Linked DNA regions of Xenopus tropicalis. The protein of the gene in region 5 interacts with the protein of the main gene of each other region in a pairwise test. Links are inferred from orthologs where the notes say so. Each region holds a gene or a part of one and is shown on either strand. Other genes may lie near its edges.

What was found.
Region 1: the proteins of ccdc155l (region 5) and gosr2 interact in binary tests that used the Homo sapiens proteins (3 or more experiments, as listed by UniProt). The two-hybrid records come from large-scale screens. The link is inferred for Xenopus tropicalis from reciprocal best matches to the Homo sapiens genes KASH5 and GOSR2.
Region 2: the proteins of ccdc155l (region 5) and ppp1r18 interact in binary tests that used the Homo sapiens proteins (3 or more experiments, as listed by UniProt). The two-hybrid records come from large-scale screens. The link is inferred for Xenopus tropicalis from reciprocal best matches to the Homo sapiens genes KASH5 and PPP1R18.
Region 3: the proteins of ccdc155l (region 5) and nsg1 interact in binary tests that used the Homo sapiens proteins (3 or more experiments, as listed by UniProt). The two-hybrid records come from large-scale screens. The link is inferred for Xenopus tropicalis from reciprocal best matches to the Homo sapiens genes KASH5 and NSG1.
Region 4: the proteins of ccdc155l (region 5) and jagn1 interact in binary tests that used the Homo sapiens proteins (3 or more experiments, as listed by UniProt). The two-hybrid records come from large-scale screens. The link is inferred for Xenopus tropicalis from reciprocal best matches to the Homo sapiens genes KASH5 and JAGN1.
Region 6: the proteins of ccdc155l (region 5) and upk1b interact in binary tests that used the Homo sapiens proteins (3 or more experiments, as listed by UniProt). The two-hybrid records come from large-scale screens. The link is inferred for Xenopus tropicalis from reciprocal best matches to the Homo sapiens genes KASH5 and UPK1B.
Region 7: the proteins of ccdc155l (region 5) and galnt2 interact in binary tests that used the Homo sapiens proteins (3 or more experiments, as listed by UniProt). The two-hybrid records come from large-scale screens. The link is inferred for Xenopus tropicalis from reciprocal best matches to the Homo sapiens genes KASH5 and GALNT2.

Annotation. Positions count from the first base shown.
Region 1 is NC_030686.2:15,435,323-15,439,438, forward strand, and holds the start of gosr2 (Golgi SNAP receptor complex member 2), read right to left. Parts: upstream 2,801-4,116; 5' UTR 2,705-2,800; coding exon 2,676-2,704; intron 1-2,675. UniProt on the Homo sapiens protein: Involved in transport of proteins from the cis/medial-Golgi to the trans-Golgi network.
Region 2 is NC_030684.2:75,522,123-75,526,183, forward strand, and holds the start of ppp1r18 (phostensin), read right to left. Parts: upstream 2,801-4,061; 5' UTR 1,109-2,800; intron 1,067-1,108; exon of another isoform or gene 945-1,066; intron 423-944; exon of another isoform or gene 374-422; intron 1-373.
Region 3 is NC_030677.2:26,293,138-26,296,637, reverse strand, and holds part of nsg1 (neuron-specific protein family member 1), read left to right. Parts: intron 1-946; coding exon 947-1,063; intron 1,064-3,500.
Region 4 is NC_030680.2:138,224,173-138,228,134, forward strand, and holds the start of jagn1 (protein jagunal homolog 1), read left to right. Parts: upstream 1-1,162; 5' UTR 1,163-1,189; intron 1,190-1,777; exon of another isoform or gene 1,778-1,993; intron 1,994-2,331; exon of another isoform or gene 2,332-2,381; 5' UTR 2,382-2,388; coding exon 2,389-2,477; intron 2,478-3,962. UniProt on the Homo sapiens protein: Endoplasmic reticulum transmembrane protein involved in vesicle-mediated transport, which is required for neutrophil function.
Region 5 is NC_030683.2:112,407,440-112,410,939, forward strand, and holds part of ccdc155l (lymphoid-restricted membrane protein), read left to right. Parts: intron 1-179; 5' UTR 180-278; coding exon 279-345; intron 346-595; coding exon 596-691; intron 692-1,067; coding exon 1,068-1,248; intron 1,249-2,601; coding exon 2,602-2,660; intron 2,661-3,500. UniProt on the Homo sapiens protein: As a component of the LINC (LInker of Nucleoskeleton and Cytoskeleton) complex, involved in the connection between the nuclear lamina and the cytoskeleton.
Region 6 is NC_030678.2:6,430,303-6,434,251, forward strand, and holds the start of upk1b (uroplakin-1b), read left to right. Parts: upstream 1-1,149; 5' UTR 1,150-1,167; coding exon 1,168-1,233; intron 1,234-1,721; coding exon 1,722-1,922; intron 1,923-2,367; coding exon 2,368-2,442; intron 2,443-3,911; coding exon 3,912-3,949. UniProt on the Homo sapiens protein: Component of the asymmetric unit membrane (AUM); a highly specialized biomembrane elaborated by terminally differentiated urothelial cells.
Region 7 is NC_030681.2:52,926,217-52,930,314, forward strand, and holds the start of galnt2 (polypeptide N-acetylgalactosaminyltransferase 2), read right to left. Parts: upstream 2,801-4,098; 5' UTR 2,443-2,800; coding exon 2,344-2,442; intron 2,299-2,343; exon of another isoform or gene 2,279-2,298; coding exon of another isoform or gene 2,240-2,278; intron 1-2,239. UniProt on the Homo sapiens protein: Catalyzes the initial reaction in O-linked oligosaccharide biosynthesis, the transfer of an N-acetyl-D-galactosamine residue to a serine or threonine residue on the protein receptor.

The DNA.
Region 1 (4,116 bases), on a different chromosome or scaffold from region 5:
ACCCCAGCTGTACCAGTGCAGGAATGGCTGCCCCCGGGGCTACACAGCAGGGTATTATATAAACTATAGTAGGGTTTCTGTAGCAAACACCCCAGCTGTACCAGTGCAGGAATGGCTGCCCCCGGGGCTACACAACAGGGTATTTATATAAACTATAGTAGGGTTAGTGTAGCAAACACACCAGTTTTACCAGTGCAGGGCAACAATGCATTATATTTTTATTACGTTAAAGCTCTTTCATTTTTTAGTGTTACTGTTCCTTGAAAACTCCAAAAATGGACTCCATAACAGGCTTTAGCTGTCTCTGCTCAGAACTACAGTTCACCGACAGGTGGGGGGTGCAGCTTAGAATACATGGTCTATTTACTAAAAGTGTTAATTGTTATGAAATATTATCTGTCCTTTGTATTTGTATCTATGCCCAAGGGGCCCTGTGTTGGGAGCCCAGATCAGATGCCACATCACTATAAATAATAATCATATTGTATTTAGTCATATAGTGCCACAGTGGGCACACCATATTGTATTTAGTCATATAGTGCCACAGTGGGCACACCATATTGTATTTAGTCATATAGTGCCACAGTGGGCACACCCTATTGTATTTAGTCATATAGTGCCACAGTGGGCACACCCTATTGTATTTAGTCATATAGTGCCACAGTGGGCACACCCTATTGTATTTAGTCATATAGTGCCACAGTGGGCACACCCTATTGTATTTAGTCATATAGTGCCACAGTGGGCACACCCTATTGTATTTAGTCATATAGTGCCACAGTGGGCACACCCTATTGTATTTAGTCATATAGTGCCACAGTGGGCACACCCTATTGTATTTAGTCATATAGTGCCACAGTGGGCACACCATATTGTATTTAGTCATATAGTGCCACAGTGGGCACACCATATTGTATTTAGTCATATAGTGCCACAGTGGGCACACCATATTGTATTTAGTCATATAGTGCCACAGTGGGCACACCCTATTGTATTTAGTCATATAGTGCCACAGTGGGCACACCCTATTGTATTTAGTCATATAGTGCCACAGTGGGCACACCCTATTGTATTTAGTCATATAGTGCCACAGTGGGCACACCCTATTGTATTTAGTCATATAGTGCCACAGTGGGCACACCCTATTGTATTTAGTCATATAGTGCCACAGTGGGCACACCCTATTGTATTTAGTCATATAGCGCCACAGTGGGCACACCATATTGTATTTAGTCATATAGCGCCACAGTGGGCACACCATATTGTATTTAGTCATATAGCGCCACAGTGGGCACACCATATTGTATTTAGTCATATAGCGCCACAGTGGGCACACCATATTGTATTTAGTCATATAGCGCCACAGTGGGCACACCATATTGTATTTAGTCATATAGCGCCACAGTGGGCACACCATATTGTATTTAGTCATATAGCGCCACAGTGGGCACACCATATTGTATTTAGTCATATAGCGCCACAGTGGGCACACCATATTGTATTTAGTCATATAGCGCCACAGTGGGCACACCATATTGTATTTAGTCATATAGCGCCACAGTGGGCACACCATATTGTATTTAGTCATATAGCGCCACAGTGGGCACACCATATTGTATTTAGTCATATAGCGCCACAGTGGGCACACCATATTGTATTTAGTCATATAGCGCCACAGTGGGCACACCATATTGTATTTAGTCATATAGCGCCACAGTGGGCACACCATATTGTATTTAGTCATATAGCGCCACAGTGGGCACACCATATTGTATTTAGTCATATAGTGCCACAGTGGGCACACCATATTGTATTTAGTCATATAGTGCCACAGTGGGCACACCCTATTGTATTTAGTCATATAGCGCCACAGTGGGCACACCATATTGTATTTAGTCATATAGCGCCACAGTGGGCACACCATATTGTATTTAGTCATATAGCGCCACAGTGGGCACACCATATTGTATTTAGTCATATAGCGCCACAGTGGGCACACCCTATTGTATTTAGTCATATAGTGCCACAGTGGGCACACCCTATTGTATTTAGTCATATAGCGCCACAGTGGGCACACCATATTGTATTTAGTCATATAGCGCCACAGTGGGCACACCATATTGTATTTAGTCATATAGCGCCACAGTGGGCACACCCTATTGTATTTAGTCATATAGTGCCACAGTGGGCACACCCTATTGTATTTAGTCATATAGCGCCACAGTGGGCACACCATATTGTATTTAGTCATATAGCGCCACAGTGGGCACACCATATTGTATTTAGTCATATAGTGCCACAGTGGGCACACCATATTGTATTTAGTCATATAGTGCCACAGTGGGCACACCATATTGTATTTAGTCATATAGTGCCACAGTGGGCACACCATATTGTATTTAGTCATATAGTGCCACAGTGTGTGCCCTGCTTACATGGGGGGGCAATACAAACAGGGGGGCAGTATATAATACTTTGGTTTCTTTGGACCCCACCCCCTACCAAATGAATGCCTTAGTTGCATATTAGTGAATTAGAAGCTGCTAAGTATATTATTAATTAGGAGCTGGTATATTTTTTTGAACACCACCTAAACCTGTTCTGTAGCAAAAGGATGAGGTGGCATGTCTGGTCCTATGCTGAAGGAGATGGGACAGGGCTGCTTCCCGACTCACTTGTTACTCTGGTGATAAAGCGCCTCCATGGCAGCAGTTTCTGTGAATTTCACCCCAAAGGATCGGTAAATGATTACACATCCGCCAGCAATCTGTTGCTTATCCCGGCACCCCACAGAACCGTGTCCCTTCCACACGTCATCACTTCCGGGTTCTTTCAGGACCCCGCCGAGCGTTAGGGTGTCCATGCTGCCTGTCGACTTAAATCAGTTAAATAAACGAGAAGACTAGAAAGCCACGGTTTCAGATACAGTATTTTATTTGACTAGTTGTACTAGGGAGCTAATATTAACAAAAAGGCATCGTAGGAAGGCAAAGAACGAAAGGCATTGTACAGGCAGGGCATAGGGCAGCCATAGTGGGGCGCTCATTCCTATCGCCATGGTGACTGATGTCAGAATCAGCATCTTTTAACTTGCGTTCCAGATGTTGGTGTGATAGTGTGACAGGCTACGGCCGGGGGGTTGTTGCTATTAAACAACCGGAGAAGCCATATATTAAATGCATAATTGTTACCTTCTTTACTCAGCTTTCTAATAAAAAACCATAACCTATTGAACTGGAAGTTTATACGGGGTGTAGGGAGTTGTAGTTATACAACATCTGAAGGGGTGAAAATGTTATGTCCCTGGATTATACAATTCCTTTCCCCACTTTCAAGTGAGATGTGGGCACTGGCCCTCTTGTAATGTGGGGGTCCCTAGCCCTTTCTAGATAAACATGGGAAGTGCTGACAGGCAGATAAAAGCATTTTGACTCCCAGTGTTTTCCACTTGATGGCAGCAGTGGTCAGAACACCCCATGTGCCTTTAGCCCAGTGTTACATATACATTACATTAACATTTATAAAGCGCCAACATATTCCGCAGCGCTGTACAATAAGTGAGTTACATACATGGACATACAGAGTAACATATAAAGCAATCAGTAACTGATACAAGAGGTGAAGAGAGCCCTGCCCAAAAGAGCTTACAATCTACAAAGTGTTACATACACATGAGGGCCATTTACTATGCTGCCAATGCAAATGCTGGATCACCAAGTATCCTCATTTACAATTACTTGGGCCCAAGGTCTGATACCTATCCAGCTGATAGAGACTGCAGTGATGGCAGGTGTAAGGCAGCCCTGTCCTTCCAGACACTGGGCAGTGGGTAATACGTGGCTTCATTTGGAACCACAGTTTTGTGATCATTAATAAGCCCAAACATGGTACCAAGGGGTGTGTTTACTAAGATTGGAGATAAATATCTCCGGTGATGTTGCTCATAGCAACCAATAAGCAATAAGATTTGTACAGTCACCTACAAGCTAGAAATCAAAAGAAAGACCTAATTGGTTGCTACAGGCAACATCACCGGTGATGTTTATCTCCATTCTTAGTAAACACACCCCTAAATCACACAAAATCTACCTCCATTGACTTCCAAAGTGCAAGCAC
Region 2 (4,061 bases), on a different chromosome or scaffold from region 5:
AGTAATGACAGGAAAATAATTTCATACAGCTAAAAAAGAAAGTTACACTTAAAAAGTCAAATGACATATAAAGAAGCATGTGTAGAGTTCATTAGAGAGGAAGAGAAAGAGGAAGAGAAAGAGGATACGCAGAATAAAAAGAGAAATAAGCATGGGGGTAAGAAAAGGCTGAAATACACTGTTAGAGGGCTTAATTAAATGTATGGACAAAACAATTCTGCAATGTTTTATACAAAATAAGGGTCTAGATAATGTAACTAAGGTTCTGAAAGTATTTTCAGTATAAGGCATTACAATTTTGAATTAAAATTTAAAACTGTTTAGTATCAACCTTTATACATCTGTTTTTCTCATGGTACAAACAAAATCTTACAGATTATAATTGTCTGGTCTTCAAGTTGGGAAACTCTTCAGATACAGATCTGTGGAACAATTGGAGCAACCAAATTAAAATGAGGAGGATGGAATTGTCTAGACTGACAGATAGCCATACTGCTGAACCAGACAAAGAAATGTAAAACATACATTCTGAAAAGGGAGAAAAAGCAAAATAGGAGAACTAGATACAAATAATTCAGACATGCCTGCAAGAGATGAGTGGGCAAACAGGAAAGAGGGAGATGCACTGACAGTTCTACAGAAAACGGAGGAGATGTACATCGCTAAGGTTTAGGAGATTCATGGAAGGTAAAGACAAAAGCAAAAAAATAGGCAGCTGCATACACAGCAGTACTTTCTATGCACCGAGTAAAATAGATTTAAACAGTGAGAAGGATGTTAAGTCTATATATTTGTTTGTCTATGTATGTATGTAGGAGACTGTATATTATCGCACAAATAACACTAAAGTATGAAAATATACTGCATAACCTGTGTTGTAGCGATTGGTGAGGATTTAAACAAAAGGTAAATCAGAGTATGTTCTTCTCTCAAAAAATACTTACTAGAGTGGGAATCACACTTTATAGTGGCACCAAAGAAATAGAATAGAGGACAAGTTGGTGGAAGATATGAAGTGAGAGTGCGCAAAAGTGATCTCATTGTACTTGTATGCACATATGAAATGACATGCAGAAACCCACAGGATATAGTCAGATATGTTACATACCTTTATTGTGAGTAAGCAGGCACAATCCCCTCTAATACATCCTATAGCCCAGCAGGATGCCTTGATGTTAGGAGAAGTGAACTGATGTCTGGAGCAGTTTCCTTTGTTAAACTTAAACCCAAAAACATAAGAATATGTAGCGTTTCTCTGTGGAAAGTCCCAAAGCGTCACACGTCTTCAAGTGAGCCCAATTCCTTCAGACCCTTAAAGCAAATACAGATGTACAATGTAAAGACTAGGGACTTATAGCTTGGGCAACCTTTGCATTGGAGAGGAATTCCCAGAGAGTGAAAGAGAAGGGTGTGTAGGAAGAAGGGATTGAATCAGACAGAAGGAGAGAGGGGGGTGGAGGGTGAGGTTCCAGCTATGCATAATGCTAAGAGTAAAGGGGGAGGGTGGAGAGAGGAAGGATGGTGGGGGGAGATACTACAGACAAGTTAACCCTTACATAGCACTGTACTTTTTTCTATTGACATCGGTAAGGCAAATGGGCTTTGTTTTAAGAAAATGCTGGGATTTTTAGTTTTTAAAAAATCATTTTAATGCCCTATTGTGAAAAAAAGCAAAGACTGCTCTTAAATATCCACTACAAGACACACACAGACATTCTGTATTTTTTATACTCAAGATACTAAATCAGTACAACGTACACACAACAGTGGGGGACAGGATGGGACTAATGGAAAAAAATACTAAGCAACAGCACATGACAGATTATTTATGCTTTAACATAAATATCCTAAACAGTAAGAAGTTTTAGCTTTTTGGATGTTTGTTTTGAGTTTAATAACATACTACTAAGGCAAATTGTGCATGAAATAAGAGCTACCTCATGTATTATATTTTATACTATTTATATGGACGGACACAACACAATACAATACATATGTAAAACTTAATGCAGAGTGCTTCAGTTATGCGTGGTTAGGGTGAATTTACAGACTGAACACTAGAAAGCCACACAAAGTATAAGAAACTGAACCATAGGCAACAGTTACACAAAGCTGGTTTTTGGTCTGTGTATAAATGCAGGCCAAGAAACAGATGAACCACTCACCTGCACACAAAGTGAATTTCAGCACAGAAAAGTGTCAATATGCATTTTCACACTGAAATCTGCTCTGTGACTGTACACAGGCTGAAGCAGTGCTTATTAGCACAGATACCAGACCAGGCTGATTTGAGTGGTTGAGCTGCTACTTGCATCTGCATTTATATGCAGCCAGAGTTGGACTAACTCTGTGGGCTTCCACGACCCAGACATGATCTCCTTTCCCTGATCGTGTTGAGGTATAATGTAAGCACACTTGGGAGGGATGGAGTTGGTCTGTGGTGCCCCTGGAGGGGGTGTGGAGGCCACTGCTGAGGCCCCTGGGGCGGCAAACTAATGGGCCCTGCACAACCCAGTCTGACCCAGTATGCAGCCCAAAAAACAGCTACATGTGATCATAGCCTTAGCCATTGGCATTTATTTTGTGTATAACCTGATCATTCAGCATAATGCATTTGGGCTTGTGCGCCATGCTACAAGGTTTTTAGCAATCCTATTTAGGGAAAATATAATCCATCACAATCTGAACATACTTCTTACTCCAAGTATTTTTATCCTGTAGTTATATAGCGCTGACCTATTTTGCAGTACATTTATGGAATGCGATATTTGGAAATCTTTTTATTTTGAAAGTTCTGAAATACAGGAAGCCCACCACCCATAGACTCCATTATAAGAAAATAATTCTATTTTTTTTTTAAATGATTTCCTTTTTCTCTGTAGTAATAAAACAGTACCTTGTACTTCATCCCAACTAAGATATAATTAATTCTTATTGGACACAATACAATCAATACAAGTACCTTTTTTAGTCGATTTAAGGTATGGAAATCTAAATTGTGGAAAGATCTCTTATCTGGAAAACTACGAGCATTCTGTATAACAGGTCCCATACTTGTACTTTACAGAGATTACATACTATATTATATACTTTTGCATCAGGCCCTGCCCCTTTTGAAGCTTACAATCTAGGGTCCCTATCACATTCACACACACTATGATCAGTTTTATAAAGGAGCCAGTTAACATTCCTGTGTATAGATATAGATAAAGCTATGGTCATTGCTATTAGCTGCAGTACTCTTCCCTTAACCAGATCAATAGGCATTGTGTACATCAGTGCTGTCCAACTGGCACAACCGCACTCTATACTAGAATTAAGCCAAATTTGTAGTTTAAAGAAATGCTGTCATGAGGAACCATGTTTTTTTTTTTCAAAATGCATGTTAATGAAACTTCTCCAGCTGAATCCTGCATTGTAATCCATTTTTTAAAAATACAGGATTTTTTTTTTTATATTTAATTTTAAAATTTCACATGGGGCTAGCCATATTCTTAATTTCCCAGGGTGCTACAGCCATGTGACCTGTGCACTGATAAACTTCGGTCACACTTTACAGCTGAGCTGCAACTTGGAGTGATATCATCCCACTCCCAGCAGCTGATCATCAGAACAATGGGAAGGTAGCAAGATAGCAGCTCCCAGTAGATATCAGAATAACACTCAATAGTAAGAAATCCAAGTCCAGCTTGAGACTCCTCCAGTTACATGGGAGTAAAAGAAACAATAGGTTACCTGAAAGCAGTTCTAATGTGTAGCACTGGCTCCTTCTAAAAGCTCAGACTCCGGCACAATGCACTGAGATGGCTGCCTACACATCAATATTACAATAAAAAAAAACCCCAAAACATTTGTTGGTTCAAGAATAAAATTTTAACTGGTAAGAGTGGATTATGCGCTATGTAAACAGTGTAATTTAGAAATAAAAAGTACACCATAAAAATCATGACAGTATTCCTTTAATAACCAGAATTTCAGCTCTTAAAGATACCAGGAGCAAATTTTTTTTGCCAGCCCTGGTGCAGGGCAACTGCCACCCGAGTCAAGATTCTCACCTTGCC
Region 3 (3,500 bases), on a different chromosome or scaffold from region 5:
TCGGGAGCCACAGTCAAATGTAAAAAGACTTGGAGAGCAACACAAGCACCATAAAGGTTCATGGAGGTGTGAAATAAGGGCTGTGATTGGCTATTAGGTGCCTCTATGCACCCTATCAGCTTACAGGGGCTTTATTTGGTAGTAAATACATTTTTTTATCCAACCAAAACTTGCCCCCAAGTCAGGAATTCAAAAATAACTCCCTGGTTTGGGGGCACTGAGAGCAACACCCAAGGGGTTGGTGAGCAACATGTTGCCCCTGAGCCACTGGTTGGGGATCACTGTTATACACACTATCCCACTCTTACATTCCTTTTCCCAATGCCAACGTACCTTACAATACACACTACCATACAGTTAGAGCTCTTATCTTGACAACATATTGCCTTATTATACACACTGTCCCCTAGGTTCAGTCCCCATATATTGTCGCCATCTTGCCTTATTGTACCCCAACTTGCATATTCTAATTTTATCACAATACTGAAAAATGCTTGATCTCAGTTCTTCAGTGCTTCACAGTCACTTGACTTTAAGGGCCCCATTCATTTTCCAGCAAGGCCCATAGACCGTTTGGTTGAATCCCCAATGCCCAGCACATGCTGCAGCTGGTATCTCGGGCACCATTAACCCATCAGCAGCTTATGGCTACAAGTAGTGCAACTGCCGGTATCCCAGCGCCACAGATACACAGATAACAGGCAACGGCTGCTGCTGCCCCAGGGCCATGTTTGTGTGAGGGATTACAATGTGCCATGTTAGTAAACGAGCAGTTTCTTGTACTGCCGAAAGGAAGGCTCGCCCTATACTGAGTTATACAGTAACAGGGATCTTGTCACTAGATGGCGCTGTTCCAATGCAGTCCAGAAGTAGAGTTTCTTTTTAGTATATAATCTCCCTATTTGTGCCTTATTACTCACACTGGTTTATGTTTTTATTTTCTAAGGTGGTTGTGAAAACAAAGACTGAATACGAGCGGGATCATAAGAAAGGCAAATTCCGAGCCCCCAAGATTGCTGAATTTACTATCAGTATCAGTGAAGGAGTGTCCGAGAGGTTCAAGGTAAGGCTGGATCAAGCGCTTGCTGGCAGTTTTCCCCTGTGGGGCAAATGGACGTGATGCAATTTGTCTGGCACTTTGGCAATGCTTCCCTTCTGCCTGTGCCCTACCTAAGGCTTTAATAAACTGGGGTCACCACCTACCAATTAATATCAAATTAATATCAATTATGCTATATTTATTCTGAGTAATCATCCCTAGAAGTTCCCTCCGTTTTTTAAGATTGCAGCTGCCATTTAACTTGGTCTCCAAAACTTCCTGATGCAGTTCTAGCTGCTGGTAGCTCAGATCACACATTCTTATGGAAGGGGGAGTGAATTCTTATGGGAGGGGGAGCAAAAAAAGGAAGGGGAGAGAGCTACGCAGACTCGTTGCCCCAAACCTGAAGGAGCCCTAAAGGAGAGGAAGTCTGATACCTAAGAACATGTTTACAAAAAAGGAGACAAGAAATCCTGTGTTTCTTTTGATAGAGGACTCAGTGCAGCATTACTGTGAGTGCTTATGGCTGTATTTCCATAGACATTTCTGATAAAGCTTACTTAGTTTGTACCTTTCCTTCTCTTTTATGGGACAAGTCTCCATGCAGAGTGTGTTTTCTACTCTCTGTGTCGGGGGCCATGGCTTCTTCTGGTGCACAGAAAGTGAGCTTTAGGGTGAAGACACACAGAGCTACTATTAGCAGCTACTTGTCATGGCTTCTAAAACACACAATGCTGATCATATACAGGTATCAGACCCCTTATCCGGAAACCCGTTATCCAGAAAGCTCCGAATTACGGAAAGCCCGTCTCCCATAGACTCCATTTTAATCAAATAATTCAGAATTTTAAAACTGATTTCCTTTTTCTATGTAGAAATAAAACAGAACCTTGTAATTGATTCCAACTAAGATATAAATAATCCTTATTGGATGCAAAACAATCCTAATGGGTTTAATTAATGTTTTATTGATTGATTTTTGATTGATTTTATTAGACTTAAGGTATTGAGATCCAAATTACGGAAAGACCCCTTATCCGGAATACCCTTGGTCCCGAGCATTCTGGATAATGGGTCCTATACCTGTACTGATAATTGTCTCTACGTGTGTTTTAGCAATTCTCAGTATTGTCTATGCAGGGTATTTTCAGCTGTAACAAGTAGCTGCTACTAAGTAGCTCTGTGTCTTCACCCTAAGGGCAGTGCCACATGGGGAAGTTAGTCGGCCACGATAAATCTTAGCTACTGCGGGCGACTATTCTCCCGGAAATGCCATCCCATCGGCAAGAATGTAAATCGCCAGCGGGATGGCATATGTGTCGCTACGGTTTCCTGAAGTTGCCCAAAGTTGCATTGCAAGGAAACTTGGATGCACCTGTCAGTCACAGCTGAACATAAATCACATCCTGTACAACAGGGATAGTCCCGCCCCCTGGCACACTACAGAGCAAGCAGCACAATGTGCATGGAGAAGGGTCAGGTCTGTGCTGAGCCCAATACAAGCATCTGGAGCTGGCCAATACAATGGAAGATTAAGGGACAATACAATCAATCAGATCTTTGCCCAATTTTAGCACCTGGGGGAGGGACATATCAGAGGGATCTAATCATTTGGCTCCCAAGCTTAACCTGTTAGTTACCAATTACAATTAATTTCCCAATATTATTACACTGTGTAGGCATATGTAGATCTTAATGGGGGTCCAATCGGCCCTCCACTTATTGTTCAACTGCAGCTCTCAGCATGTTACCAACATGGCAGTCAGTGGGTGCTCGCAACTGTAATTGCCATCACCCACAGAGTTCAATATTGGCCTCATTTATATATTTATTACCTAGAATAAGGCAGAGACTTGTGGCCCCCTAGTTGTGCCCTCCCACATCACCCCTAACACCATATAGGTTATAACAATGTACATCACAATGTTAAGACCTTCAAAAAGAAAATCTTCCCAATTTGATGGCTGACTGCTCAGCTAATTCCGCCACCCTATCGGCTCCTTTCATACCACAAAAAGGAAATAATACTTTGTTACATGGTAACGCATTGCACCCACCGGCACATCACTATCTACTTGGTGCTGTAATTATAAAATATAAATGATAAATATACCAAGTTGCAACTGATACAAAGGCAGTCCAGCCACCAAAACACATACGCCTGCCAGTTGAATGCACCATATCAGCTGTGGGGACCTTAAATATATTTGCTCTGTTTTTATCATATTCTACATATTCCAGAGTGGAGTTTACAATCTACCGCCCTATCACATTCACACAGTTTGTGGTCAAGTTTATTAACCAGTTAACTGGCCTGTGGGGTGTGCAAAAACCAGAATACACAAAGTAAAGCTGTACAATTACAGGGAAAATATACCTACAGATTGTGACCTGGCTGGAATCAAACCTATGGCCCTCAGCACTGCCATCCTAGGTTTGACTCCAGCCAGGGCTCCATTTG
Region 4 (3,962 bases), on a different chromosome or scaffold from region 5:
CCCCCTCCTCCAGGTGTATGGTTTTATATATTATTATAGGTGGGTGAAAAAAACAATCATCTATGCTGAGCCAATGACACTTTAAACGCTGTGTATATTATAATGCTGGGACATCCAACCAGCTTAACTCTAACAGTCTCTATATTACCAAAGCCTAACTACAAGCAGAGTCCCACAGGAATCTCAATGTAGAAAATATACTCTAACCATTGAAGATATATTTTAGCTAAGTATGGTGATTACTGCCATTAGCTCTTATTGAGTGCCATGCAGACAAACATACACATACAATATAATCCAATTTAGAGGGTCTTTACCCTGCCTTCCATTTACTGATTTACTCCCAGCCAGCTAGATAAGCACAGGCAATGTGACATCTGCCATAATAGTCTTTTTGACACATTATAAGCAAAACACACACAAAAGAGCTTCATACTTACCCTGTATATATGTCTGTAAGGAGTTATATGTTGCACTCAGTTCCCTGGGATCCAGTCTCCCAGTCAGCAGGCTTGACCCATACTATGACAGTATATACTTGGGAGATGTTTATGACTCTCTTTCACTGCAGGTCACTCCTTCCTACCCACAATGCCCTGTGCCAATGAGTGGCCATTCCTTCAGCTGTCCCAGCAAACAGGAGCACAGGTCATTGCTGTTCAGTGGGAGTCATTACTGCCCTGCCTCCTACTCACAGGGGACCTATGCACTGCAGTCTGAGGCCAGGGAGACACATTCCCAGCTGTTTGCACAATATGCAGGAACCTGTCCCAAACTTGCCCACCCTCCCCATTAGCAAAAAGGCTTAAATTACACAGAATGCAGGGCTCCATGGCAACAAACGGCTGCCCTGCATTGTAAAGCGATAATGAAAGCTAATTTCTATAAAACAAAAAATCAAACAGCAGCTGGTAATTTCTGCAGATATTTTATATTTTGACATCACCCATTATATTTAGTAGCTTAAATAAGAAGCCTTGCACTGATTTTTTTTATTCTTAAGGCAGAGAGCGACAATGTGGTTTTAATTTACAGCCATACAGCTACTTCACTGTCTTCTCAACATCAATCAATACATGGTGATTCTACTTCCGAGTGGAGCAAGATGGCGCCGGGAGCCGGACGGAAGTAGTCGGAAAGGAGCGCTGACTGGGCGGATGTTGCCGAAGCGCCGGGTTCATTGAGCGTGGTAAGTGGGCTCCTTGCTATTGTGCGTGTTATAATATGTCTTTATAGTTTGTTTGTTCTGTGTGTGCTGGGGGAATGCGTATTTAGTGCACTATTTTGGAAAGCCAGTCATGTCATAGGGCAGGGGGCTAGCTGTAGGGGCATGTTACCTGAGTGGGCTATAGCCATCTACCAGGTACATTAGCCTCCAAGGGTTGCCACCTCACCCCCTTTAAACCAGGTACAGGACCATATGAAATCCCCCACCTCCCATAGGTGCCTGCTGCAGGCTGTGATGGCTTCTTTTTATATTATGTGACATTTTATATTTGGAATTACATCCCCTTTGAGCTTTGGGCAGGGTGTTAGGACTGACACTAGGGAACTTCAAGTGTTGTTGAACTACAACTCTCTGATCCATCAACAGCTGCAGGCTGTAAGGCGATAGTGGGGGCTGCTCGCTAAACGCTAAAGGTGTCAATAAACTACTCTAAGCCTTATGCCCCCACCCCAAGGCCACCTTCATTATACTGACATGATCCCGCTATTGATAGGAACCTGTCATGATTGCAAATCCTGCACCAAATATCTTTTTTTTTTTTTTTTTCAGCCCTTGTTGTTAGTCCAAAAGATCCACAGGCACATCCCTGGCCAGCAACAAATGAGCTTCATTTTGTGCCCAGGCCAACAAGAACGAATCTATATTCACCATTTAGAAGCCAATATCGTTCTTTGTATGACCAGCAAACTAATCTGTATGATTATGTATTGTGCTTGAACCCTCATTTGTAGATTAGTTATAAACCAGAACAGAGCCATTGCCCAGGTAATCATTAACCAGATGCAGCTCTGAGATTTAGCCGTAGGGGGTTATATTTGGGGGGGGGGGGGGGGGGGGGGGGTTACCGGCTTAATATGTACACCACCCACAGCATTTCAGTCACAAAAGTGAAAAGCTTTATTTAATTTTTTTTACTGTTCCTGTAAGCAAAGGAGCACCTACCAATACCACTGTAATGTTATTTTAAACATTTGATAAGTAAAGGGGAACTAGGCGCTCAGCTGTTAGTTTTTCACCTGGGGAACTCAGACGATATATAAGTCTGTGCACACACTGTTCTTTTGTTTCAGTGTGTTGTAGATTGTAACTAAGTTATTCTTTAGTTTGCAGATAATTAATTAGAGATTAATAATTATTGTTTCCTGGTTGTAAGATCAATAATGGCCTCCCGTGCTGGCCCTCGGGCAACTGGTACAGATGGAAGTGACTTTCAGCATCGAGAGAGAGTAGCCAGCCACTATCAGATGAGGTAAGTAAAATACAAAGAAAGTCTTGTATTAGAGCTGTACTTCCCCCACTGTTATTTCATTGTAACACCCATCATCCCCCCCCCTGGCAGACTTCAGCTGTAGTCCAGCCACGGTTGGTGCCCAGGAAAAGAAATGTTTATTTGCAATGCTAGGCTATTTGGGGAAATTATTAAAGAAGTGCAAATCTGCAAGATGCAGAGAGATCTTAAGGTGGCCATACACGGCAGATTCTAGCTGCCAATATCGGCCCATTACACCGATTCGGCAGCTTATTGGCCCGTGTATGGGCACTACCGACAGGCCTGCCCAACCGACATCTGGCCTGAAATCACCCAGATCTCGATTGGGCAGGTTTGATTTTTTTTTAGTCGGACTGGGGACTGCATTGGCTCGTTGAAGTGATACCCGACCTGACAGACGCCTATACCCATCGTTCAAATTAGCCCGATATTGCCCACCCGTAGGTGGGGATAACAGGATCTTAGAGCGTGTATGGCCACCTTTAGGGTTTTTTTTTATACATGATTACAGCCAGTAGATAGCAGTGCAGCCCCTACCATTCAAATCTTCTCTTTTAACTTGTATGTTCTGACAATCTCTATCACCTTATTGGTAAATGAATTGTAGATAACTACATACAGTGGTGCTTGAAAGTTTGCGAGCCCTTTTGTATGTCATATTTCTGCGTAAATATTACCTTAAACGTGATCTGTTTTTCCTGCTCCCTTAAAGGAGAAGGAAAGGCTAATAAAGAGTTAATCTCAAGCTGCAGGCATACCTTCAGTTCTCTCAATAGTGCCCCTAAGTCTCCCCATATTTCTCCTGTTGCAATGATCAGAAGCCAAACAGGAAGAAAAAATGCTGAGCTGTGTAAAGAAAGTTCCCATAATGCCTCACTCCTGCACAGACACCCAGACCAAGTGTACATGCTCAGTTAGTAAGACTATAAGTCAGCCTCCTGCTGATTGGCTCAGATCCACATTCCTAAGGGGGGGGAGTGAGTTCTTAGCTTTCTTGAGGGAGGGGGGAGCAGGAAAGAGCAGAAAGCAAAGAGCTGTGTGTCTCTGGCAGAGGAAACTGAGTTTTTACCTTTCCTTCTTCTTTAAAACTAGATAAAGGATAAGTAAACATTTAAAATAAGTGACTGTAAAATTGATGAAAGTGTGCTGTTCTAAGCACTTTTGCAAGTTGCTTTTTTATTTTAAGATTCCAAGAGAAATAAAGCAGGTAGTTATGCTGGAATGCAATGTGTTGCTTTACCCATAATGCTTTTCATTTAAGCCTAAAGGTGGCCACACTAACCTTCAGTGCTGAAACAGGCAGATAAGGAGGTAGAAACAATAGATTCAGCCCTAAAAGCAGATTTTGCTCAGGCGCCTTCTATGGCGCCTGATCAAAATCTTTTAACCCGCCCGATTGGCGAGTCGACCGATATCAGCAGGTTCCTGCGATATCGGTCGACTCACCGACTTGCCATACACGCA
Region 5 (3,500 bases):
ATGGCGGCTCAAGGGATGTAAAAGGGCAGTATTTACTGATATACAGTATATATTCCAGTTTGACGAGATTGTTTATTAGGCCACTTAACATAATATAAACTCTCTGTTGGTTAAGTATACATTCTGGGGGTATAGTTTTATTTTAACTTGTAATTTCATAGGAATGTTTGCTCTTTCAGAGCTAGCACTCTCCAGGAATACATCTGCAGATTTCTTTGAGGTCCTGCCTCAAGAGGAAGAACTAATATACCCTAAGCTTTCAGCAAAGGGCTTGTATAATGTATAAACTGCAAGGAACCTGCTGGAATCCTGAATCAGAAGAAGGGCAGCTATCAGACAGCAAAAGTATGTTTTTAATGTATTATTAGATATGTATGTGCTTTTAATGGAAATTAAAGTGGCTGTACCCCCACTTGTGGATGGCTTTTTATATTCTCTACACTTCTGACTACATTGTTTCATGCATCAGAGTGGAAAGGGAGAAACAAATGCTGCTTTCAGTTTGAAATACATTTACAAACATCTTTAAAACCCATTAAAAACGTTAAATGTACGTGTATGTATAGAAATAATTTGCTGTGCCTTTACGTCTCAGATGCTACTCAGGGCTGTCTTAATGGTGTTCCTAATTCTACATCAGAAGAGCAGTTGCTGGATACCGCATTTGAAGCATGTGATACAGAGGGGAGAGGTAAGAAACTCTTGCTGATGTAAAAGAGCGCCTCATGAGTAATATAATAGGGTGTAATACTTCCCAACTAAAGGAAAACAGCGGGGCAGAATTATTATGTCAATTATGTTTTTAAGCAGCAGTAAGGACAGTTACTACTCATAAGAAAATCAGTGGAATTGCGGCTCATTCACTAGTTTTTATAAAACGCTACTACCGAGTCGTTAAGCTCTTTAACTTGCATTGTCATTCAGACTGATGTCCGCCTTACTGCAGCTAAACATATTATTGTGTTTACTAAGGAACTGCCCACATTGTGCATAGGTAACAAAAATCTGCAGTTTTGCTGTTAAATTCCACTGCTAAACTACCATAATATGACTAAATTTGCCTCTAGGAGAAGTAACAGTGTTTCAGATCATTGACTACTTGAAGAGCGTAACAGATCAACCTTGTGATGGAGACCGACTCCAGCACCTTTGTAAGATGCTGGATCCTGAAGAGCAGGGAAGGTCCCTAGATTTGCCAACCTTCCGTAAAGTCATGAGTGAGTGGATTGCCAGCTGCTGCAGTGACAGGTATGTCGGCTCATGCGTTTAGAGAATGTAAGTATAAATTTGGCCATATAATCTTTGGTCCCTGTTGGTTGGCAGACCAATTCATCCCACAGGGTTCAGTTGGGTTAAGGTCAGGGCTCTGTACAGGCCAGTCAAATTGTGAAAGTTGAAAGCCATGGCAAAGAACCCCAGACCATTATTCCTCCTTTACTAAACCTGCCAGATGGTGAAGCTTTATTTACGTTCAAGAGAATGCACGTGTACTTGCTGCAGAGTCCAATCCGAGAAACCTTTACAACTTTGCAGCATACAAATGGCATTGCGTATTAGGGGCGGCCTAAGCCAACCAGGCCCTAGACAAATTGGTCGGCCCCTTGGCCCTGCACCCTTCCCCCCTCCTTGCATCTGCGCATGCATTATATATGGTGTTGCAGGGGGGCGTGAGCCATGCAATGAGAAGCAGCAGAGGCAATGACAAGGGAGCTCGGACTAGGGGTAAGCAGGAAGTACCTGCCTGGCGCCCTGGCAATCTGTGGATTCTGGATCCAGAGGGGCAGCTGTAAGATGCCATAGACTATTGGGCTGGTGGGTGGCTGTTTTGGCCCCTGTGTACTTGAAATGCCAGGGCCTATTTTTGATCCAATGCTAGGCCTGCTGGACTGACAATCATTGCATTCCGGTAAATGCCAGAGGCGCTTCTGTAAGGCACCATAGACAACCACTGTTTTTTAAACCTTTGTGGGACTGTTTGGGCCTCTGTGTACTTAAAATGCCATGGCCTATTTTGAACCACAGTCCAGACCTGTGCAGGTGCTTGACATCTTTTTAAGCTATTAAAGGTGAAGGAAAGTCATTTTGCTAATAGATTAGTCACAATAGTGCAAGATAGAACGCTATATTTATTTTGCAAAAAGCTTTACCATACCTGAGTAAACAGCCCTAGAAGCTCCCTCCATTTGTTTAAGATAGCAGTTGCCATTTTAGGTCTTGGTAGCTTTCTGCTTCTGATAGCATAGATCACACATTCTGATGGGAGGGGGAGTGAATTCTTATGGGAGGGGGAAGCAGGAAAAGGGACAGAGGAGAGCGTTCCACAGACTTTTTCTGAGAGAGGAAGTCTGATACTGAAGAACATCTTTACAAAAAAGGAGACAAATCCTGTGCTTTTTTTGATAGAGGACTCTGAGTGCTTATGGCTGTATTTACATAGACCTTTCTGATAAAGCTTACTTAGTTTTCACCTTTCCTTCTCCTTTAAATATTGCAGTTTTACAGTATAGTGACATGATGTGCAGTCTTATATTTCTTTTTACATACAGTGTAAATAGGACCCTAAGATTTTACTGTCCATTTTAATAATTTCTATATATGCAGTGATATTACTGAAACAGTGGAAAATATAAAATCCGAGAAAGGCTCATCTTTACCATGTGGTAAGTAAAAAAAGCACTTGTGATTAATATATTTCTAATTTAGATTTTCCTTTGTACATTATATATCCTCTATTTCAATCCATATGAAAATTAGGCTACAGGTACACTACAAAACTGGAGATACATCAGCCTTATGGCTGTAAACATACCCATCACTACCCCTATACTGCTGGGTCAGTACTCTGTATTCTAACCCAAGGCTGTCTGTTATACATAGTAACATAGTAAGTTGGGTTGAAAAAAGACATACGTCCATCAAGTTCAACCATAATGCCTATATATAACCTGCCTAACTACTAGTTGATCTAGAGGAAGGCAAAACCCCATCTGAAGCCTCTCTAATTTGCCGCAGAGGGGAAAAAATTCCTTCCTGACTCCATAATGGCAATCGGACCAGTCCCTGGATCAACTTGTACTAAGAGCTATCTCCCATAACCCTGTATTCCCTCACTTGCTAAGAATCCATCCACCCCTTTCTTAAAGCTATATAATGTATCAGCCAGCACGACTGATTTGGGGAGGGAATTCCACAACTTCACAGCTCTCACTGTAAAAAATCCTTTCCGAATATTTAAATGGAACCTCCCTTCTTCTAAACGGAGTGGGTGCCCTCGTGTTCGTTGGAAGGACCTACTGGTAAATAAAACATTAGAAAGGTTATTATATGATCCTCTTATATATTTATACATAGTTATCATGTCACCTCTTAAGCGCCTCTTCTCCAGTGTAAACAGACCCAACTTGGCCAGTCTTTCTTCATAACTGAGACTTTCCATACCCTTTACCAGCTTAGTTGCCCTTCTCTGGACCCTCTCTAACTCAATAATAATACACACAGGT
Region 6 (3,949 bases), on a different chromosome or scaffold from region 5:
CCAATGTTTCTATATATCTGTAACCTTGTTATGGGCTAAGGGGGCCCAGCCTGAAGGCCAGTTAGGGGGGATTTGGGGTGAGTGCTTATTTGTGCCCTGGGTACCCCTGGAACTATAGCAGGGTGACTGTTACCCCAATGTTTCTATATATCTGTAACCTTGTTATGGGCTAAGGGGGCCCAGCCTGAAGGCCAGTTAGGGGGGATTTGGGGTGAGTGCTTATTTGTGCCCTGGGTACCCCTGGAACTATAGCGGGGTGACTGTTACCCCAATGTTTCTATATATCTGTAACCTTGTTATGGGCTAAGGGGGCCCAGCCTGAAGGCCAGTTAGGGGGGGATTTGGGATTAAAAGTATTGGGTGCAACAGGTTTCATTGAAGCATCTGGCACACTGAGGCCACACCTCCTCTCTGTGGGAATTAAATGCATCTGTTTAGCAGTGAATGCTGATGCCCATGGCTGCGGGTTTGCACCCCCTGGGGGAAGGGGTGATGCTCAGGAACACTATATACAACCTGAGGAAGCCATAGACAAATAGCACGAGGGGCATTTGGCTGCTGGTGCTTTCCGTAGAGCGTGCCAGGACTGCCAGTCTGTGGGTTCTGGCAAATGCCAGGGGGACTGCTGTAAGATCCCATAGACACTCACTATTTATTGGGGCTGTTTGGCCCCTGTTGAATCCCAGTTCAGGCCTGGGCATAGAGATTTTGGCCGGTTGGAGCTGCCATACACAATCACTGCTCAGTAACTCTGCTCTCCTCTGTGTGTTGGATTTTATATTACAGGGTGGAATTCTCTATACCCCCCCCCCCCCCCCCACGCCCCACCCAGCTCTGCATGCATGAGAAGTTTGGGATGTTTTTAGATCTAAGATATTGTTCGTTTCCCCTTTAAACAAACTGACCGGGAGAAGAAAAACTTGTTCTCGCTATTGGTTACGAGTATGCCCGAGATTAGAATGTTGGACTGAATGAAATGTGAGCGAGTTGCATTCCAATCCTCTAGGCCCGGGTGTATATAGAAACCCTTAGTCCTTCTTCTGGGGTCCAGAGATTCTACTGGACTGCAATGTCACATGGTTTCCTGCTGCTTTAGGCCACGCCCTTTCTCAAATCAACTTCCAATCAACTTTTTTTTAATTGTACAGGTTTATTATACGTAAGAAAATGAAGGAGGACTCAGGCGTTCGGTGTTACCAGTCCATCATCATCTTCGGCAATGTGGTCCTTGGGGTAAGTAGTCGATATTATTAACCACTTTGCACCTAACCGGAGCCTTGGTCAGGACTAGAGGCTCATAGTTTGGCCAGAAGCCCCTAGTTAACTAGCCCTACTAGTTATTTTATCCTCCTTTTGTATGTTACTTGTGCACCCCTGGATGTAGATCCTGGTCAAGTATCATTCATGGTTCCACCAAGCCCTCTATGGCCCATAGAATGGCACAAACCCAGTAAGTTTTAGTGCACTGGGGGTTAAATAGGAATGGATCACATGGTCTAATTATAGATCAAGGTCTAATTATAGGGTGTCCAAGAGTTTAACATAATTTGGGGCCACGGTTTCAAAAAGTCTCAAGATGACTTGAAGAACAGCTTTGATGGGTCAACTGCACGTTAAATAATGATGAGCCCAACTGTTTGGTTGCCATGGCTATGGCACTGGGGCAATTCTTAACCAATTGGAATGCACGTGTTCTAATCATGGTCACCTCGTCGTTCCAGCTCTGTGGCGTGGCCCTGACAGCCGAGTGCATCTTCTTTGTGTCGGACCAGAGTGGCATCTACCCCCTGCTGGAGGCGACCAACAACGCCGACATATTTGCCGCAGCCTGGATTGGCATCTTTACAGGGTTCTGCTTCTTCATCTTGTCCATCGTCGGAATCATTGGCATCATGAAGTCGAACAGGCGAATGCTGATGGTGGTAAGGACTGGGTTCTGGTCCAATGAGGATCTGTAGGACGCTCTCCCATTGGGCAATTGGATATTGGGCAATATTATAAAGGAAACCTCCTCCAATAAGAAGAAGCTGTGCTTCTGGGTGGTCACTGCAGTTCCATCTATGCACCACCAGTTGGCCAATTGGAAGTTACCCCAGTAGGGGAACTAGTAACCTGTAAATACCAATGCTATTACCCCTTTACTACTGTCTGTCTGGTATTTCCCATGTTCTATGGGGGAAATCTCTAATGCTTTCTATCCATCTAGCTCCAAGGCCTCTTATTGGCTGTGGCCACTTTCATTGTGCCCCGCCTATATATAGATGGTTCTGGTTGATGAGTTACTGCTTGTTACCAGTGTTAGTAAATGGAGTATGATGATTGATGATGATTGTTGATTCAATATACTTCACCCCTTCTTCATTTCAGTATCTCATCCTGATGTTCGTAGTTTATGCCTTCGAAGTGGCCTCGGCCATCACGGCTGCAACTCAGGAAAACTTTGTGAGTATTTCTTGCCGCCACTTGAATGGGTCACTGATCCATGGGGATAGTAAGGAACGACCAACTGGATATCGGGCGATGGTGTATTCTCTATAAACAGACCAACAAAGATCTGATTGGGTTATTGGATGGTCTAAACCAAAAATATCTGCCTAGGTCCTTTCCCAGTTGGGTATAAATCAACCCAAGTACCCAATCATCTTTGGACATTATTATAGTCAACATAGAGGGTGATAGGAACTCAAGGGCTCTAAGAACCTTTGGCTGATACATTATATAGCTTTAAGAAGGGGATGGATGGCTTCTTAGCAAGTGAGGGAATACAGGGGTAGGGGAGATAGCTCTCAGTACAAGTGAGGGAATACAGGGGTAGGGGGGATAGCTCTCAGTACAAGTGAGGGAATACAGGGGTAGGGGGGATAGCTCTCAGTACAAGTGAGGGAATACAGGGGTAGGGGGGATAGCTCTCAGTACAAGTGAGGGAATACAGGGGTAGGGGGGATAGCTCTCAGTACAAGTGAGGGAATACAGGGGTAGGGGAGATAGCTCTCAGTACAAGTGAGGGAATACAGGGGTAGGGGGGATAGCTCTCAGTACAAGTGAGGGAATACAGGGGTATGGGGGATAGCTCTCAGTACAAGTGAGGGAATACAGGGGTAGGGGAGATAGCTCTCAGTACAAGTGAGGGAATACAGGGGTAGGGGAGATAGCTCTCAGTACAAGTGAGGGAATACAGGGGTAGGGGAGATAGCTCTCAGTACAAGTGAGGGAATACAGGGGTAGGGGAGATAGCTCTCAGTACAAGTGAGGGAATACAGGGGTAGGGGGGATAGCTCTCAGTACAAGTGAGGGAATACAGGGATAGGGGGGATAGCTCTCAGTACAAGTGAGGGAATACAGGGGTAGGGGGGATAGCTCTCAGTACAAGTGAGGGAATACAGGGGTAGGGGGGATAGCTCTCAGTACAAGTGAGGGAATACAGGGGTAGGGGAGATAGCTCTCAGTACAAGTGAGGGAATACAGGGGTAGGGGAGATAGCTCTCAGTACAAGTGAGGGAATACAGGGGTAGGGGAGATAGCTCTCAGTACAAGTGAGGGAATACAGGGGTAGGGGAGATAGCTCTCAGTACAAGTGAGGGAATACAGGGGTAGGGGGGATAGCTCTCAGTACAAGTGAGGGAATACAGGGGTAGGAAGGATAGCTCTCAGTACAAGTTGCCCCAGGGACTGGTCCGATTGCCATCTTGGAGTCAGGAAGGAATTGTTTCCCCCCTGGGGCAAATTAGAGAGGCTTCAGATGGGGTTTTTTGCCTTCCTCTGGATCAACTAGCAGTTAGGCAGGTTATATATAGGCATTATGGTTGAACGTGATGGACGTGTCTTTTTTCAACCCAACTTACTATGTAAGAGAAGACTCATTACCTTCCTCAAGACATTTATCTTGACACTTTCTCTCTCCTTTGGTCTAGTTCATTCCAAACCTCTTCCTGAAACAGATGTTGGACTT
Region 7 (4,098 bases), on a different chromosome or scaffold from region 5:
CAACATCCAAGGGGTTGGTGAGCAGCATGTTGCTCACAAGCTACTGATTGGGGATCACTGTTCTAGAGTTATATCATATGTTTTATGCAATGATTTCTATATTTTAGCTTTCATCTAGGTTTAACATAAGAAAACTTTACCAGGAGGCAGAGTTTTCAAATTTTGTTTTTCTCCATTGGCGTTGTGGGAATCGCTTGCTTCTAATAAACCAAAAGTTTTCCCTTTATACTATCTGTCAGTCCTATATTAATGTATAGACTGAGTTCCCAAGATATAGTTATATAATTATTTTGAGTTAAAAAGGGAGGCAACTACCCTGTGAGTTCAACCCTTTTAATATAGCCCACCATCACATACTCACCACACAGACTTTACACAGAACTTACTGCACCAGCCTACAAGTTCAGCAACATTATAATGATATGATAATGATTCAGGCCTTCAAAGTTGTCACAAATGTTCCCCATCTTGGATTTTGTTAAATGTGTCAGTGACACTGACATGGCCTAAAACTGGCCAGAAATCAGGCAGAAATAATTTTCTGTTGGATTGGGGACCACAACTGCTTGTTGAAGCGGTCCTTGGTCTGACGGCCCATATACCTGCCTTTATAATTGGATTGTTCGGCCTAGGGTTAAACAACCCTATATCAGCAACCATAGGTGGGCATATAAGGAGATGATCTGCTATATCAGCCACCATAGGTGGGCATATAAGGAGATGATCTGCTCGTTTGGGGACCTCACACCATGCATGGCCACCTTTAAGCTTGAGTTCTTGTTAATGATATTTATGAAAAAGTCTTGCGAGTCTTTTTCGGCGATTTCCCGAAATCGCGCCGCCACGTGTGCCATCCCACCGGCGACTTACATTGTCGCCGGTGGGATGGCAGGGGAAGGCAACTCGGGGAGATTAGTCGCCCGCGAACAGGGAGTTTTGTCGCGGGCGACTAACCTCCCCGTGTGTCAGAGCCCTCAAAGGAGAAAAGGCACAGGCACATACAGATAAAACACTATTGTATTCTACAGAACTTATCTGTTATCTGCTATGTAACCTGTGCCTTTTCTCCTTTTTTCCAGCTTGAATGGCTGCCCCCGTGGGTACACAGCAGCTTATTATATAAATGATAGTATTGTAAGGGCTCTGGCACACGGGGAGATTAGTCGCCCGCGACAAATCTCCCTTGTCACGGGCGACTAATCTCCCCGAACTACCATCCCACCAGTGAACATGTAAGTCGCCGGTGGGATGGTACACGCTGCGCAGGCGATTTCGGCAAATCACCGAAGTTGCCTCGCGAGGCATTTACATGTTTGCCGGTGGGATGGCAACTCGGGGAGATTAGTCGCCCGCGAACAGGGAGATTTGTCGCGGGCCACTAATCTCCCCGTGTGCCAGAGCCCTTACTGTAGCAAACACACCAGTTTTACCAGTGCAGGGCAACAGTGCATTATATTTTTATTACTTTAAAGCTCTTTCATTTTGTGGTGTTACTGTTCCTTTAAAATTAAAAGTGGAAAAAGTCATATTGCTTGGTGTAGTACATGACAACAATTAAACTAAAATGTTTTTGGAAGGTATATTTAACAATCATACCTACCACAGCTGACTGGCTTCATTGCTACAATGATATCTTTCTATAAGTATCTACAAAAGTGTAATAAAGTAATTTACTACTAAAAGGGGCAAACAAACGGGAAAGGCTGCAAAGGGAGCCTTGAACTCTAAAAAGCTTTCCTCTGAGCAAATAATGATTCATGTATTATAGTTAAATATTTGTACCTGCATAGGCATTTATAACTCACAAGAACACCAACGGCAAACATTCCTGATTATTTTTGCACAGTGGCAGGAACATGTGGATACACAACAGGGTTTAATTAAAAAGGTCTTGTCCAACTCATACAGTGCAAAATTGGCAGTCACACACAGGATACATTGTAGCAATTTAAAAAGATTTAAAAAAAATGATTATTATTGTGTAACTTGCACAGCTGTAGTCCTTTCTATGTTTGACTTGACATAATGAAAAACAACTTATAATAATTCTGTGTTGTTACAAAACCACACACAAACACTGCAGTTAATTGCAGAAACCTTATATTATGCCGGTAGAAAAAATAACCTGTCCACCAAACAAAACAAATGTGCAGTTGTGTAAGAGATGCTAAATTAATTATGATAAATACAAGGTATCAATATAACATTATCGCCTACATTTTACTTAACAATAAAGCACCTGTTTGTGCTGCTCTGGACTAGCCAAACTTCCCCCCATGCGTCATGTGACTGCTTCTTACACCCTTCTGCAAGTAAGAAAATGCTCAAGGCACGAAATATTACCTTCCGGCTGCTCCCATTGGTTCCAGAGTACACGTAATAGGCAATGCCAAGTAGCCAGAGGAAAGCGAAGCACAGCAGGATTCTAGATTTCCTTCTCATTGTTTCTCTCCTGGGCTCCCTGACCGGTCAGGCGATAGAATAATTCAATAAATAATAACTACACCACGGATATGGTTTTGTCAAGGCTGACGTACTACGATATATACTGGCTCATACTTCCTCCACCTCCATACAGCTGCTCCCCCTTTGCCTGCAGCGTTAATCCCTCCTACTCCCTCCTCTTCTTTGCCACTGACTCGCGGACTGCAACCAGGCCAGTGAACAGGAAACAACCAGCATCGACAGGTCATAGGGCAAAGGTCGAGCGCTACATGAACGACCAATCAGAGATCACCGATGGGCTGCTGGTCGTGGTGGGTGGGATTCGTGAATCTCTATGGTTACAGCACGCCAATGCTCGTCGGCTCTCCCACCCTCCTCTTCGCTCTGACGTACAGACACTTGCAGTGCAGGAAATAGACCTGTAGTTATCCAATCATATATTATGACATTCCAGTTCCGGCTGCTTTCAAGGAATAGGCAGAAACAATAATTGTGCAGTAATGTCGGATGAAAGAACATTTTATAGTAGAAGGTTCGAAAGAGTAATAATGAGAGTGGCGTCGCCTCATTCATTCCATTGGATAAACGCATATCAATTTACATAACCTTTCCAACCTGCGCTGTTAAATAGATGTAACCCCTTTTTGGCACACTCACTTACTTTGGGCTGTATATATGCTTAAAACAGGAAATTGGTCCTACTTGGCAGATAAAAGGTACAGGGACTGGGATTTTAGTGCAGTGCCTCCACCTAGTGGACACTGAGGAGCACACCTCAAGGGGATTTCCACTAGGAAATAATCACACACAGTGCAGCAAATATCAACTTTATATAACATTGTGAAAATAAAATAGCATTAACATGCAATCAGTAATAACCCTGCTTTGGAAACCTGTGTGGTTTTAACAACTACTGCCTCGGTCTCTTTGAGGACACAGTTCCACCTCCACTCCTGGAGGAAATACCCTTTCCCAGTTCAGTCCTGGCAAAGTCCCTTCCCCAGAGCTCTTTCAGTTTCCCAGGTAGCAGTACCTGCCCCAAAGTACCTCTCCCTTTGGAATAGGCAGTTGCTCTCATGTAGCAGGCCCTGAAAAACACCTGTCCTCACACAGGGGGGGACACACAGGAGACTTTCAATACCTTTCCTTTCCTAGTTCACTCCTTGGAATCCACAGGGTTAAGGCATCTGACCACAGTGTAGCACGGGGGTGTCAAACTCAATCACATAAGGGGCCGAAATCTAAAACACAGGCTAAGTCATGGGCCAAATTTTTTATTAATAAACTTAGTAAGATACTAAGAGGTATATTTATCCCAATGTGTAAAAAGTGGAGTAAGACATTACCGGTGATGTTGCTCATAGCAGCCAATAGATGCTTTGCTACTGTTGAAATCTGATTACTGATTGGATGCCTTGGGCAACATTACTGGTAATGCTTCACTCCACTTTTTACACAGCATGATAAATACACCCCTTAGTCTTAGTTACTATGTGAGGAAAATGGAAATTGATCAGGCTGGATGGTCAGGCCCGCGGGCCTTGTGTTTGACATATATGGTGTAGCAGATCAGTCTCAGCTGCTGGCAAAACAACAGGGACTCCCTTTATAAGCTGCTAGGCCCGCCCCTGATGTTTGGCTCCAAACCTAGGC